Danio rerio: one gene and its partner. The protein of the gene in region 2 interacts with the protein of the main gene of each other region in a pairwise test. Links are inferred from orthologs where the notes say so. Each region holds a gene or a part of one and is shown on either strand. Other genes may lie near its edges.

Region 1 (8,210 bases), on a different chromosome or scaffold from region 2:
GCTATTGTTCACCGCCAAACTTTTTGCTGATATGCACCTGATGCTTAGCAAAGATTTGCAAAGACATTTCCGAGCAGAACCTGGTTTGCATAATTGATTCTGAGTAAGGCCTTTATAATAATAATAACAATAATAATAATATGCTTATAATTCGCTGCCAAACTTCTTGCTGCTGTGCACCTGATGCTGAGTTTAAAATTGGCAAACAAATGAGCAAAACGTACATGGACCACATTTCAAAGCACTTCACAGGACCTTTAAATGTTCGTTTTGTGTGAATCTTTCATTATACTTTCATTATATTTCAATTTTCAGCTCTGTTGAGTTTGTGAAGCAACTCAAATTTGAATCTTCTTCATCATATTCACATAGAAATTTGGAAATTTCATTTATTAGCTTGAATTTAGTTTTTTCCTACCTGAAAATATACGAGCATGTTAGTTATAAGTGAGTTCAGAGGTCTGAAATGTGAGTGTTTTCTGTCTTAGTCTCTCAATTCACAGGCTTGTCTGTGTGCAGCCAAATCTGGTGAGGTTAAGGTGAGACTGCATGTCGTGCCAGACATTTCCATTGTTTTTAGTCAGCAGAAGGAGGAAAAGGAGACACTCCCATGCGGCGGGTGTTTTATAACATATAATCACCGCCAGATGTTTGGCTGGTAACGCATAACAACAATGGAAATGGAGTTTTTTCTTCTTCTTTTGTCTGCAGAGGAGCGTTTCATTTAGAGAGACACATTCCTCTATATAAATGGCCCCTTTCGTTTCAACTATGTACAGTATTCAGTATAAAAAAGAGAAAAAGTATATTGTGGAATCACAAACTATTGTTATTTAAACTAACATTTACATAAGTCAGTCACACTTTTATCCTTGTACTCCTTTGGCTCAAAGCTGTAAGATTTGTTTATGAGCGTCTCACCTTCAGGATCGGCGGAATCTAGTGTTTGCTTAACAAATTTAACATTTTATCGGGAAACTCCACTTTCACACCTTACACTTTACAAATGCAACTCAAAGAAGCTAGTGTAGCTAGTTTGGCTAATGGTTGCATTGACTAGTTATTGTTATGTGGGTAACACTTTGCAATTAGGTATCATTAGTTAATGTTAGTTAATGGATTTAGTATTATGAACAAACAATAAACATTACATTTATTCTAGTATTTGTTCATGGTAGTTAACTAATGGTACATTAACAAATGCTAACGAGCGTACATTTTGATGTTAATAATATATAAATGTTACTCAATACTGTACAAGTATTGTTTATAATTAGTTCATGTTAGTAAATACCTAACCTTGAATGAACAGCAGAATGAACCGCCAACTATTCCGACATGTTTTTTACAGCGGATACCCTTACAGCTGCAACCTAGTACTGGGAAACACCCATACACTCTCATTCACATACGCACTCATACACTATGGCCAATTTAGTTCATCCAGTTGACTTTTACCACATGCCTTTGGACTGTTGGGGAAACCTTATTGTAGAGAGTGACCAATATCTGTTATAAAATAACCAATAATAACAAATGACATGTAAATAATTATGATTAGGAAATTGCATATCAGGAAATGACCAAGAATAGTAAATGCCAGTAAACAGTAAAACTACTTGCTCTACAAACAACTGTATTGCAATACATAAAAATATAATAAGAAAATACACATTTAAAACATCATTAAGGCAGCATAATAAGCTGTTTTCTTATAGTTAAAAACAAATTGAACTGAATGAAGTGAACTGGAAATCTCAAGAAAATTTTGTTCTGCTGAAGAGCGAATAAACTTTTATAATAGGAGTAATGTTGAAGATGTCTGAATAATTTTTAAATGTAACATTTATATGTAGAAATATCAAGTGAGTAATGATGCAGTAGGGTTTGTCACTGAAATACCAATAACGCAGCACTGGAAAAGGCCATTAATGATGATGTGTGCATTTAAATATACAGTATATATACTTATTGAGTCCAGAAGCTTGTGACTCACTTAAAATATTCCACACAAACATCATGAATGTCTGGCACATCAGTGAGTCTCTCAGCAGCCGGCAGCTTGTGTTATTGAGTTTTGTAAACACAAATTGAAATGATGAGGTTATGTCTCTCAGTAACAGTGTGAGGAGTTGTTTCCAGGGCACATTATCTCGAAAGCCTGAGTGTTTGGGAGATTTGTTTTAGACTGTAAAGTGAAAAGGCTGCTGTGCCAGTTTGTCAGATGGGCACCACATACCTCACCTGCCTCTCAGCCCTGTCCCATTCAGATCATTCATTTAGCCTTCTGCTTGCCTTTTGGCAAATTTGAGGAATAGAATATCAGATTTAGGTCTTTACCACAATATGCTGTGCAGAAATAGTAATGCAAGCACACAGGCTGAAGTTTACTAGTGTTTCATAGCATAAATGTCAGGAGGTTATTGTCACAAACCCTTACATATACAGTACACAGTCTCACATTTCAGTACTATGTATTACTATTATTAACATTAAATGATAAAAGAAGGTATGAGAAGTATGTGCATATACATACATACATGCATACATACATACATACATACATTTGTCTATTTTATGACCTATTTTATCAATTTAACAAGATCCCAAATCTATTATAAATTAATAATTGCTTATATAACACTAGATTTTGTAAAACACATTATAATTGCATACATGTGCGCACACACCCCTATATAATTTATTTTATATGTAATTGTCAATTCAGGACCATTTATATATATATATATATATATATATATATATATATATATATATATATATATATATATATATATATATATATATATATATATATATAATTTTCTTTTATTAATTTAATAGCTTTTCTAAACTTTAACATTTTATTACATACACATTATATAGTAATGTAATGTTTTATAATAATATTTTCTAATTTTTTTAATTCAAGAAAAATCTGAAATTTTGAAATCATTGTTATTGTTAATCATTATTTATTATTAATAATGATATTATATACTGCATAATATACATACATACAGTGCTCAGCATATATAAGTACACACCTCACAAATCTCTTTAAAATTCATATTTTTAATAGGAAGTTATGCAATATTATATTTGTGCATTCACATTAGTTTACTCAGTACTGAAGCCAAATCTGGAACTTATCTAACAAAATAATTTACGATAACGGTCCAAAAACTAGTACACCCAAATTTATATTATAGAAAAATATTAAATACAAATTAAAAAAAGGAAAAATCTAGAGAAGAGAAAAATGTAAAGATTTAGTTGAAAATGTGTAGGTTGTGATTTTTTTTTTTTTTTTTTTTTTTTTTTTGCAATTTTAGCTTGAATTTATTTGTATTATCTTTCAGTTTCTAAATATGTTTGGTGACGACTAAAATATTATTTTAATAGATATATCTGTTTAATAAATCTGTTTTGTTTAAATGCACCAAAATACATTGCTATATTCACTGAGAAAAATGAATACAAATATTCATTTACAGAATGGGGTGTACTCAATTATGATGAGCACTGTATACTGTTTACAATTGTAATTGTTTGTACAATATCATTTAATATTATATATAATAAAATTTTATGCTATATTAAGGCTCTTCGATTAGTTTTTTTTTAAATCGCTGTGCAGCTTCCTGAAATTTCTGCTTGAATATTGTCACTTGAATATGTTCATTATTAAAAAATTATATTTTTATGTGCTTTACTCTCACTGTGTCATCCTTGTGCTTTTGAACAGATTGGCTATGGCACAACTGAAAACAGCCCTGTGACATTCTGTGGCTTTCCTGTGGACAGTGCAGAGAGAAAGATAGAGACTGTTGGATGTATTTCCCCACACACCGAGGTGCACTTTCAAACACCACTTTATTAAGGTGCTCTTTAGGCATCAGTTCTAGCACACTGAATTATTGTTTCTCCATTAGGCTAAAGTCGTGGACCCTACAACAGGAGAGATCGTGCCTCTGGGGGCTCAGGGGGAGCTGATGATCAGAGGGTATTGTGTGATGCTGGAGTACTGGCAGGATGAGGAGAAGACCCGTGAGTGCATCACGAAAGACCGCTGGTACAAAACTGGGTAAGTGTGCTTGATACTCCTCATTACATTGTTATAAATTATATCCCAGCTGTCTTGACTGAGTGTCTCTGCTGTGTGGTTCATACAGTGATATTGCCAGTTTGGACCAGTTTGCATACTGCAAAATAGAGGGGCGCATCAAAGATTTGATCATCCGAGGAGGAGAAAACATCTATCCTGCTGAAATTGAGCAGTTTCTGCACACACATCCCAAAATTCTAGAAGCACAGGTCAGCAGCGTCTATAAAAAAATGTTTATATTTACCTTTAGCACTTCATAATTCTCAGAAACAAATTATTAGCTTCAATAATGTTAGCTGGAGAAAGTCAATATAGGCTACTGATATACTAGCAAAGACTAACAACTAACTAACTAAAACATGCTAGCAAAGAGTGTAAATATGGTATAATGCTAGTGTAATTATAATTAATGCTTGCATGGTGTTAAAACTTGGTACTAAAGTGTTAGAACCATCATAGCAACTTGCAAAATCTGCCTAATAATCGGTGCTGACAAAATGTAATTTGTGGTAAACTATGCTAACAATATGCCAACTCATTCTATTAACATGTCAAATGTGTTAAAAATAGCATGCTAATTCAAGTTAGCAACCTGGCGACCTGCTAGTAAAATACTAACCATTCTAACAACATGTCAATTGATGGTGTCAATGTGTCTTGTAGTAAATTCATTTTAGCCACAGGATATAGGATAATAAAACATGCTAGCAAAAATTTAAGTCTTATCTGTTTGGAAGCAACTTGTTATGTCATGCTAGCAATTAACTCACTGAACAGTTCAAGCGTATTGCCCATGTGTTAAAAATACTATCAACAAATGTTTAACAGGGTAGAAAAGTGAAAGAAATGGCTATTAATTGCTGAAAAAGCCTGTGTATGTTGGTAAGTTATGTTTTAATCCTGGTTTATACTGGTTCCTGCTGCTTCCCTACAGCACATGACCAGGAATGAATGAATAAAGAACCAGAAAGAACCATAAACCAGCATCCAAACAAACCTTGCCAGTGCATTCTGTTTTTTCATCAAGGATTAGAAACATGCAAGCAATGGCTAATGTTAGAAACAAATAAAATAGACATGCTAGTAAGATGCTAATTAATTCTGTCAACAAATTAAAACTTTAGCCTTGTGTTAAAACATGTTAGAAATGTGTTTAATCATGCTAACAACATGCCAATTCTTTCTAGCAGTGCTAACTGCATGGTTGCAACCTATAAAATCATGTAATACACGTGTTGAAATATTCTAGAAATATTTCAAAATCTGCTATGTTACAGTTGAATGAATTATGTCATGATATCAACATGTAAACATGGTTTAACTTTTAGTCCAGGCTTTTTTAACTGTGCTATCTGGTTTTCATTAACTGTTAGCCACCATTTTATAGTTAGCAAGGTTGTTTGAGCATTTTTAATGTCTGTTTTTTTCACACAGGTGGTTGGTGTGAAGGATGAGAGGATGGGAGAGGAAGTATGTGCTTGTATTCGACTTAAGGAGGGTCAGGAATGCACTGTAGAAGAGATTAAGGCTTACTGCAAAGGAAAGGTCAGGAAATTTGGATTCTCAAGCTTGTGTGTGTCTCCCTGCACATGTACACACTTGTTCACCATTAAAATGTTTATATACAATTTATTAGATTGTGAATATTCACTGGAGTAAATTTAATATGTAATTTAAACATAGAAATACACAAACAATTATTATTAAACAAATATAAAGAATATCTGAAATCATGTTACTTGAGTCATTTAGGAAATCTAATTCTTATATAAAAATAAATACATTTCCTTTAATTACATTTCTTCCATTATACTCAATAATCCATTTTTAAAATAAACAAAGTTACTTTCAGAGTTAAGCACTTCAATATACTTTTTTCCTTTATTTTTATGCTAAGAACAGATGTCATTGTTTATACAGAGATAGATGTTTTTTAAAATAAACCCACTTCTTAAAACATTGCCAAATAAATTGACTGTAATGATAATAAAAAGTGAAGACACACATGAAAATAATAGAAATAAACAGCAAAATTGTATAAAATAAGATAGTAATAAATAAATAGACAACCATACTTGCCCAAACTTGGTCCTGGAGGGCCAGTGTCCAGTAGAGTTTAGCTCCAACTTGCCTCAACACACCTGCCAGGACACTTCTAGCGAGCCTACTAAGAGCTTGATTAGCTAGCCCAGGTGGGTCTGATTGTGGTTGGATCTAAACTATGCAGGACACCATACCCTCCAGGAGCAAGTTTGGGCACCCCTGGTCTGGACAGACAAAGAAAAGAAAAGGAAATTACAGTTACATACAAGATAAGTCACATTGTTCCCCAGGAAGTACATTTATAGCGGAGCACTGCCAAACGTTTGCTCTTCAGATCTTCAATCCAGTGTGATGCTTTAGATGGATTTAAAGACTCCCAATGCAATAGAATTAGTCTGTGAGCGAGTAAAGATACAAAGTCAGACTCAATTCACCACGTAGAATGCCAAACAATGCAAATTCCGCACATGACTTAAGCTGCACTTAAGACTATATATCGAATATGGTTGACGAGTATGGCAAGTCTTTTGACATTTAATCTATAACCCATACTAGTATTTATTTATATGTTAATAGTGCATAGTTTTCAGATTCTAGTATCTTTCCATTAAGTACTATTACTTATTTGTGCATATTCATTTGATTCTAGTGCCTATTATTTAGATACTAGTGCTTTTTAAAAATATACTAGTTCTTACTCATTAGACACTAGTTCTTTTTATTAGATACGAGTGCTCATTCATTAGATACTAGTACCTATTAAATAGATAATAGTACTTATGTATTAGATATTAGTACTTGTTTTAGTAGTGACTAGTAACTATTATGTTGTTACTAGTAATACATTTAAAGAAATTCTATTTATTTCTATCGGATCTGTCATTGAAATATCAACTAATCAGTTTTAAAATATACAAAAGTATTTTACTATTACTATTTATAACTATTTTAATAGTTATAAAAGATACTAGTGTCTAGTAAATAAATACTAGTACTGATGAACAGTTACTAGTATCTAATGAATTGGTATCCATTAAATAAATACCGGTATCTATTAATTACTTTCTGATTAACGACTAGTATGTAAAAATATGTCCAGCTGGAATACATACTAGTCAAAACTGAATAGATGATATCTCAATGAAAGATCCCATAGAAATCATTGGGAAAAAAATTAATGTGTTACTATTAACAAAAGAATAGTTACTAGTCACTATTAAAATAGATGCTACTATGCAATGAATAAGTACTAGTAACTAATGAATGAGCACTAGTATCTAATAAAAAGCACTAGTGTCTAATGAGTAAGCACTAGTATATTTTGTAAAAGCACTAGAATCTAAATAATAAGCACTAGTATCTAATGAATAGGCACTAGTATCTAATACATATTGAAGTATCTAAGTACTAGTACTTAATGGATAAAGTAATAGTATCTAAAAAATAAGCTCTAGAAACATGAAAACAAACACCAGTATGGGTTATAGATTAAATGTCAACACAGCTTGCCATAGGCGCATAAGGAGTAAGCTTAGGGCACATTCAAAACATGTGAGATAAGTCTGCTTCACCTGTGTGACAATTTATACAGATCTTGTCAAAAGTAGAGTTAAAAGATGCTCTCCGTGATCTCTGTATAGTTTTTTGCATGAATAAATGTATTTTGTTTATTTGTATCTATAATATATTAATCAATTCAATTACACTCCATTTTTAAAAACAAACATTTAACAAATTGGTGAAGTTTGTTTCTCGCCACTGTCGCCTCTGGCTTGCTTGGTTTAGGACTTGTGGAGCTGTGCATTGATGGATTTGCTCTTCAGTGTTTGGACTTTCAGCAGTGAAATTTAAACCACACTGAACTCAACTAGACGGAGAGTTTCAATTTACTAGAGCTTCTATGTTAAGCTGCTTTGACACAACCTACACTGTAAACGCGCTATTGAAATAAAGATGAATTGAAAATGCAAACAATAATAATTATGAATATGATTTAACAACAATACTACACAACTGTTCAAATTCTGCTGTTATTTTTGCAGATTGCCCATTACAAGGT
Region 2 (5,705 bases):
TGGCTTTAAAAGCAGTTTACAACACTATTAGCCCCCTTAAGAAATATATATATATATATATATTTATTTAAATAATTTTTTTTTATAATTTTGACTTCATCTCTTCACATGCTATGTTTAGTTCTCACACACACTTATGTGGACCACGCATAGAATGGCTGAACATGTAATGTAATGTAATGTGTATTTATATAGCGCATTTATTGTGTATGGCCATACACCCAAAGCGCTTCTCAATCATGAGGGGGGGTATCTCCACACCACCACCAGTGTGCAGCATCCACTTGGATGATGCGACGGTAGCCAGAGGACATCGGCGCCAGTGCGCTCACCACACACCAGCTATTGGTGGAGTGGAGAGACAGTGATAGAGCCAATTCGGTGGGAGGGGATGATTTGGAGGCCATGATCGTGAGGGCCGATAGAGGGACTTTGGAAGTGCCATGCGATTTTTATTGACCACAGAGAGTCAGGACCTCGGTTTAACATCTCATCCAAAAGATGGCGCCCACTGACAGTGTAGTGTTCCCCTCACTTTTACTGGGACATTAGGACTCACACAGACCACAGGTTGAGCGCCCCCTTCTGGCCTCACTAACACCACTTCAAACAGCAACCTAGTGTTCCCTAGTGGTCTCCCATCCAGGTACTGACCAGGCTCAGCCCTGCTTAGATTCAGTGAGTAAAAGGTCTTGGGCTTCAGGGTGACATGGCTGTGGCATGTCATACATTACATTGGCTTTTTTCATACATTTCTGCTTTTTTGCTGCAAAGAAAATATGAAAATCCTTTACATCTCTCCAATAAATTACATAATCAACTAGTTTAAACTCAAAATCATTTTTATATTCATATTTTTTTAGATTAATTCAGTAAACAAAAGCAGAATAATGTCAGGGTTAATTTTAGGTATGATGTTAAGGTTGCCAACTGGTGATTGTTGTATGGTGGATGTATTTTTTTCTTTTTCTTTATTTTTCTTTATTCTGAACTTTTATTGTAATTTCAATTATTAACTTTTTAATTATTACTTTTTATTATTTTATACACTGATCATGTTAGTTTTGGGTTCTGATGTGGTTTTCGTGTGTCCATTATTCATCTTTCTTTTTAATTCTTCATGTTCTGTATGTGACTTCTTTTCTTCATTCACTGCCCTGCTTGCTGTCTCGCTGTATTCTGTATTTGTCTCTCAGACTTGGAAACATCCATGGATAGTCGCTGCACCACAGACAGTGCGGACAGCACATTGCTTGGCCGTCGCTACTGAACCTTCCCTTCTTTCCCTCCTGCAGTCCTCTTCAGCTTCCTCTAATAACTGGACATTTTCATCTGTGAACTGTTGTGGTTAATTTCATTTTTTTCTTATTCCTATTCACATTTTGTGTTTTTGTATTTATGCATCCCATCACCATGCTTATTGTAAATAATTGTGCATTTGAGTGTTTCCTGTAAGTCTTCTTTTGTTCTTTTCTGTTTTTATATATCTATGACATTCTTTTATTCTCTTTGAATGTGTGTGTGTGTGTGCGTGCGTGCGTGTGTGTGTAAAGAAAATCATCAGTTGTGAAGTTTATTTGATCAAGAAGTGTCTGCGTAAAGATACAATACAATGCACTCAGCATTACAGTCTTTTTATGGCAGTACTTTATTCATTAAGGCATTACAGGAGGTTCCAATCATCAATGTTAGAAATTATTTACGAAATTCTTCAACAACAGATTGTAACTTGGATTCAAGTAGTATTTGGTTGGTCATTGTTCTAAACGTGTTCATACGTACCTATTTGTTTTTTTTTATGTTTAAGTATTTTTAATATCTAGAAGATAAAGTATAAACTAAAAAATAAAGATAAAGCTGAAAAACTTAATTTAAACTTTAAAGGGCACATATTTTACCCCTTTTTCAATATTTAAGATGTGTTCATTTACTGTGTCTGGAAAGTTTCAGCTCAAAACAACCATCAGATTATTTATAATACCTTTCAGAATATTGTAATTTCCATCTATTTTTATGCATATTTTAGACATTCGCCCAGAAAATGGTTGATGGAAACGGCAAGAAAAAAATGTGCATAAACCACGATGGAAACACTTTTACCAAACAAATTATTTTTATGTACATTAAAAAAGGTCATGTGACTTTGTTATAGGAGATCATGTGATAGTAAAAATGTGTGTGAAAGGATAAACCAGCAGGCTGAGCACACTGTAAAGCATTGAAAATATTGATTTGGTCAATCTAAAATGCCATAACAGTAATTTCAGTATTAGTGTTATTTTATTAATTACCTCCAGGACTGTCAAGAGAGTCTGTGCTCCGCGTCTCAGGCCTATAAATGCCACCACAAGTTCATTGCATGTCAGCATTTGTCTTCTGCGGTGCAAGTCACTTGTGATGTGATGATATTGCTCTCTTTGACTCATTGGATGGAAACACTTCTTTATTCACACGTCTTTTGTGTGATATTTCAGTTTTGTGCATGAAGTTAATTCACATTTTTGGCTGGAAACATAGCTAATGTAGCTGTTTTTGTTGCCTGTGCCTTTAATGCTAGTTCTCCCTGCCCACTGTTCCCACGTGGCTGTCAGTGTGCCTCAGGCTCCAGCTGCATCAGATAAACAGCACAGTGACAGACACGAAGGAAGCAGATCTCTTAAACGTTTGTGAGAAATACTACAATAACAACTTTCCCAAATATTATTTGATGTATTTGTTGTGGAGTTAATTCAAGCCTATGGAACGTCATTGTGTGAGACTCATCATTGCATAAAGTTTACGCTAGAGAACCCGCCCCGTTTTCTACCCGCCGCGCCCGTTTCCACTAACGAGTGGGGGGAGAACAAAACCGAAAACCACCCAGCTATACAGAGTCCAGACAGCCTATAACAAACTGTCTGTATAAACACACACACACACACACACACACACACACACACACACACACACACACACATAAGCACCAAGCAAGTGACACACACACACATAGGCATCACACTCTTTCTCTCTCTCTCACTCACACACACAGACAGCACAAAGCTTTCTCTCTCATTCGTACACGCACACACGCACAGACACACACACAGAGTGATGCTGTGTTTAGCTTGTTTGCTGCTGTCTCATTCACACACATACATACGCGTGCTCGCTCGCTCGGAAGTCGGGAGCGATATTGTTGGACAGTTACTCCCGTCCAAAATTAAACCAGTTACCGACCGCTCCCGCGCTTTATTCGGAAATGTATTACCGCACCGCAGAAATCTGGTCGGGTTGAATGCAGACCTCTAGTTCACGCACACAAACACACACACACACGCAGTTGTGACAGGATACACGTTAATATCCTCTGCTGTGTGGATATCTGTTATGTTAATGTACATATTAAACTTGATTTAATGTCCATAACCGGGATTCTTCTTTTATAATTGTACTGATATGTGGCTGTGGTGATAAAGTAAAGACGGTAAAATCTCTGTAATAAAGTTTTAAAAAGGTTTTAAATTTGTAAAACTCATTCTTGATCATATTTGATGATGATTGATGTTCACAGCGATACCAGTTTCTTTGTGTATGTCCTGTCTTGTTGATATGATTATAGGCGTTACTACAGAGACATGTTAATACGCGACGTCAATCATTTTGGTGGGTACGGGAACCACACTCCTACGTCACGTTGTGGTGGGCCGCAAAATGGGGAAAATTTGGATCCTATTTTACTGTCAGGAAATTAAAAAAAAGAGACTTAGTGTATTTTTATCACTTCAATATGACTGTGGACAAATTATACCTAAACTCAGTTATGTTCAAACTGCTTAAAAACGATGTTTAGGTGCCCTTTAAATTAGCAGTTTTCCATATTTTGTGTATTTTATTTTATTTTCTGTTTATTTATGTTTTTGAAATGCATTATGGTACATTTTCTGTGACTTTTTTCTTTACTCTTTACATATAATTTCTTATACATTATATTATTTCAAACTACTAAAGTGTGAATAAATTTTCAACATCAAAAGTCGACAGAGCAAAGATCAAGATCCCATAATGCAATTCCTACTCGTAAATAAATGGATAAATGCTTGTGAATCACGAAATACGGAAACTGTTATTTAACATGTTTTACAGCAGTTAAATTAGCTATAATATTATGTTAAAAAGGAATTTATAATAATAACTTTTGTATTGCTATAATAATAATAACTGTTTTATGAAGGTCTCGAAGGTCCCCCCTCATGATTATCTCGAAAATATCCACACTGTAACACAACAGTTCATTTTCTAGCTGTATAACGTCTGACTGAATGGGCACAGAAGTGCTGATTTATTGCATTTAAATTAGTTGTCAATATTTGCCTGTGTTTTTATTGCACATTATAAGGGAATCGTGTAATAATTTTTTATTTAGACTGGACTTCTCAGGTTGTGCTTAAATAAATAGAAGCAAAATCAAATTGATCCGTTTTACTTGGCTTGATTTCTTTTTTCTTTCCTTTTGTATTACTAGTTTTTTTTTTTACAAAGTAGTTTTGCATGTTAAAGAAATAAGGTCTAAAATGTCATTTAGAACATTAGACTATAAATGTGCAGTAAAAAGTGTCCGTTTACTCATTTACTAATGAAGTTTCTTCAGTTAATGGATCATGATCATTCTGGATGAATGAGAAAAGATTAGGCTAGGTTCTGAATATTGCTCTTGCTGATATCAAGAAATCATATGGTGAGTTAACAATGTCAATATGTATTTTTATTTTTTTTAAGTGTGTGTTTCTTGAAAACAGTAAGCATGGAAGTCCCCCCCAGTAAACCTAATCATTAAAGAATTGTACATGAGATTGAGTTGGACTTTCCATTCATTAATTCTGGATTTATTTTTCTTATTTTTTTAAATTTCAGGTTTCCCATCAATATCTCGAAACAGAGATGCCTACCAGTCTATTGACCACAACGATCAATCTGGAAGCTCTGCCAACCCCTTTGGCCAAGCGGAAGATGGCAAATCTGGCACTCGTTCCTACTAAACATTTATTAAAAAATATATATAGCAAAATGTTTTGCAACCCAGGCTAAATGTGAATTTTTGCTTGGTTCATGATTTGTGTATGTTTTTGTTTAATTTGTATGCCTATTTATTATTATTATCATTATTATTATAAATAATAGTATTAAATATAATGTTGAAGCATGAAGGAAAACAACTTTACATTTGGAGATGCCTCGTTACTGAAGAAAACTCAGAGATAAATGAAAACCCACCTTCAACACCTTTTTTTTAACCTTAGGACTGCTTTGTACAAGTGCAAGCTGTTTGATTTTTTAAAGGTGTTATTTGTGAAGCTCAAAATTTGCTGCTTCACAGTAAGGTTCCTTGATGCTATAATTTTGGTGTGCACAACATTATTATTATTTTTTACTTTTACTTTTCTTCATTTACTATTTTGTAGCATAAAATTGGTCCATTTTGTGAAAGGTTTAAACTTTTTTTTCCAACCTGATCTCACAAGAAAACGCAAGTATTTTACGTTTTGTCAGTTTAGTGGCTAATTCGTACAAATTTGTACAAGTTCAGTCATACAAAAATGAATGATTTTAAAAAGTAGGCATGGCACCTAACCCCACCCCTAACCCCAACCGTCATTGGGTGATGAGCAAATCGTACTAAATTGTACGAATTAGATTGTACGAATTCATATGAATTAGCCACTAAAACA

The links. The genes of interacting proteins can lie anywhere in the genome.
Region 1: the proteins of agtrap (region 2) and acsf2 interact in binary tests that used the Homo sapiens proteins (3 or more experiments, as listed by UniProt). The two-hybrid records come from large-scale screens. The link is inferred for Danio rerio from reciprocal best matches to the Homo sapiens genes AGTRAP and ACSF2.

Annotation. Positions count from the first base shown.
Region 1 is NC_133187.1:28,298,174-28,306,383, reverse strand, and holds part of acsf2 (medium-chain acyl-CoA ligase ACSF2, mitochondrial precursor), read left to right. Parts: intron 1-3,748; coding exon 3,749-3,856; intron 3,857-3,935; coding exon 3,936-4,087; intron 4,088-4,175; coding exon 4,176-4,317; exon of another isoform or gene 4,318-5,503; intron 5,504-5,542; coding exon 5,543-5,653; exon of another isoform or gene 5,654-6,135; intron 6,136-6,352; exon of another isoform or gene 6,353-6,424; intron 6,425-8,193; coding exon 8,194-8,210. UniProt on the Homo sapiens protein: Acyl-CoA synthases catalyze the initial reaction in fatty acid metabolism, by forming a thioester with CoA. Has some preference toward medium-chain substrates. Plays a role in adipocyte differentiation.
Region 2 is NC_133186.1:18,186,201-18,191,905, forward strand, and holds the end of agtrap (type-1 angiotensin II receptor-associated protein), read left to right. Parts: intron 1-1,196; coding exon of another isoform or gene 1,197-1,270; exon of another isoform or gene 1,271-1,870; intron 1,871-4,890; coding exon 4,891-5,015; 3' UTR 5,016-5,039; downstream 5,040-5,705. UniProt on the Homo sapiens protein: Appears to be a negative regulator of type-1 angiotensin II receptor-mediated signaling by regulating receptor internalization as well as mechanism of receptor desensitization such as phosphorylation.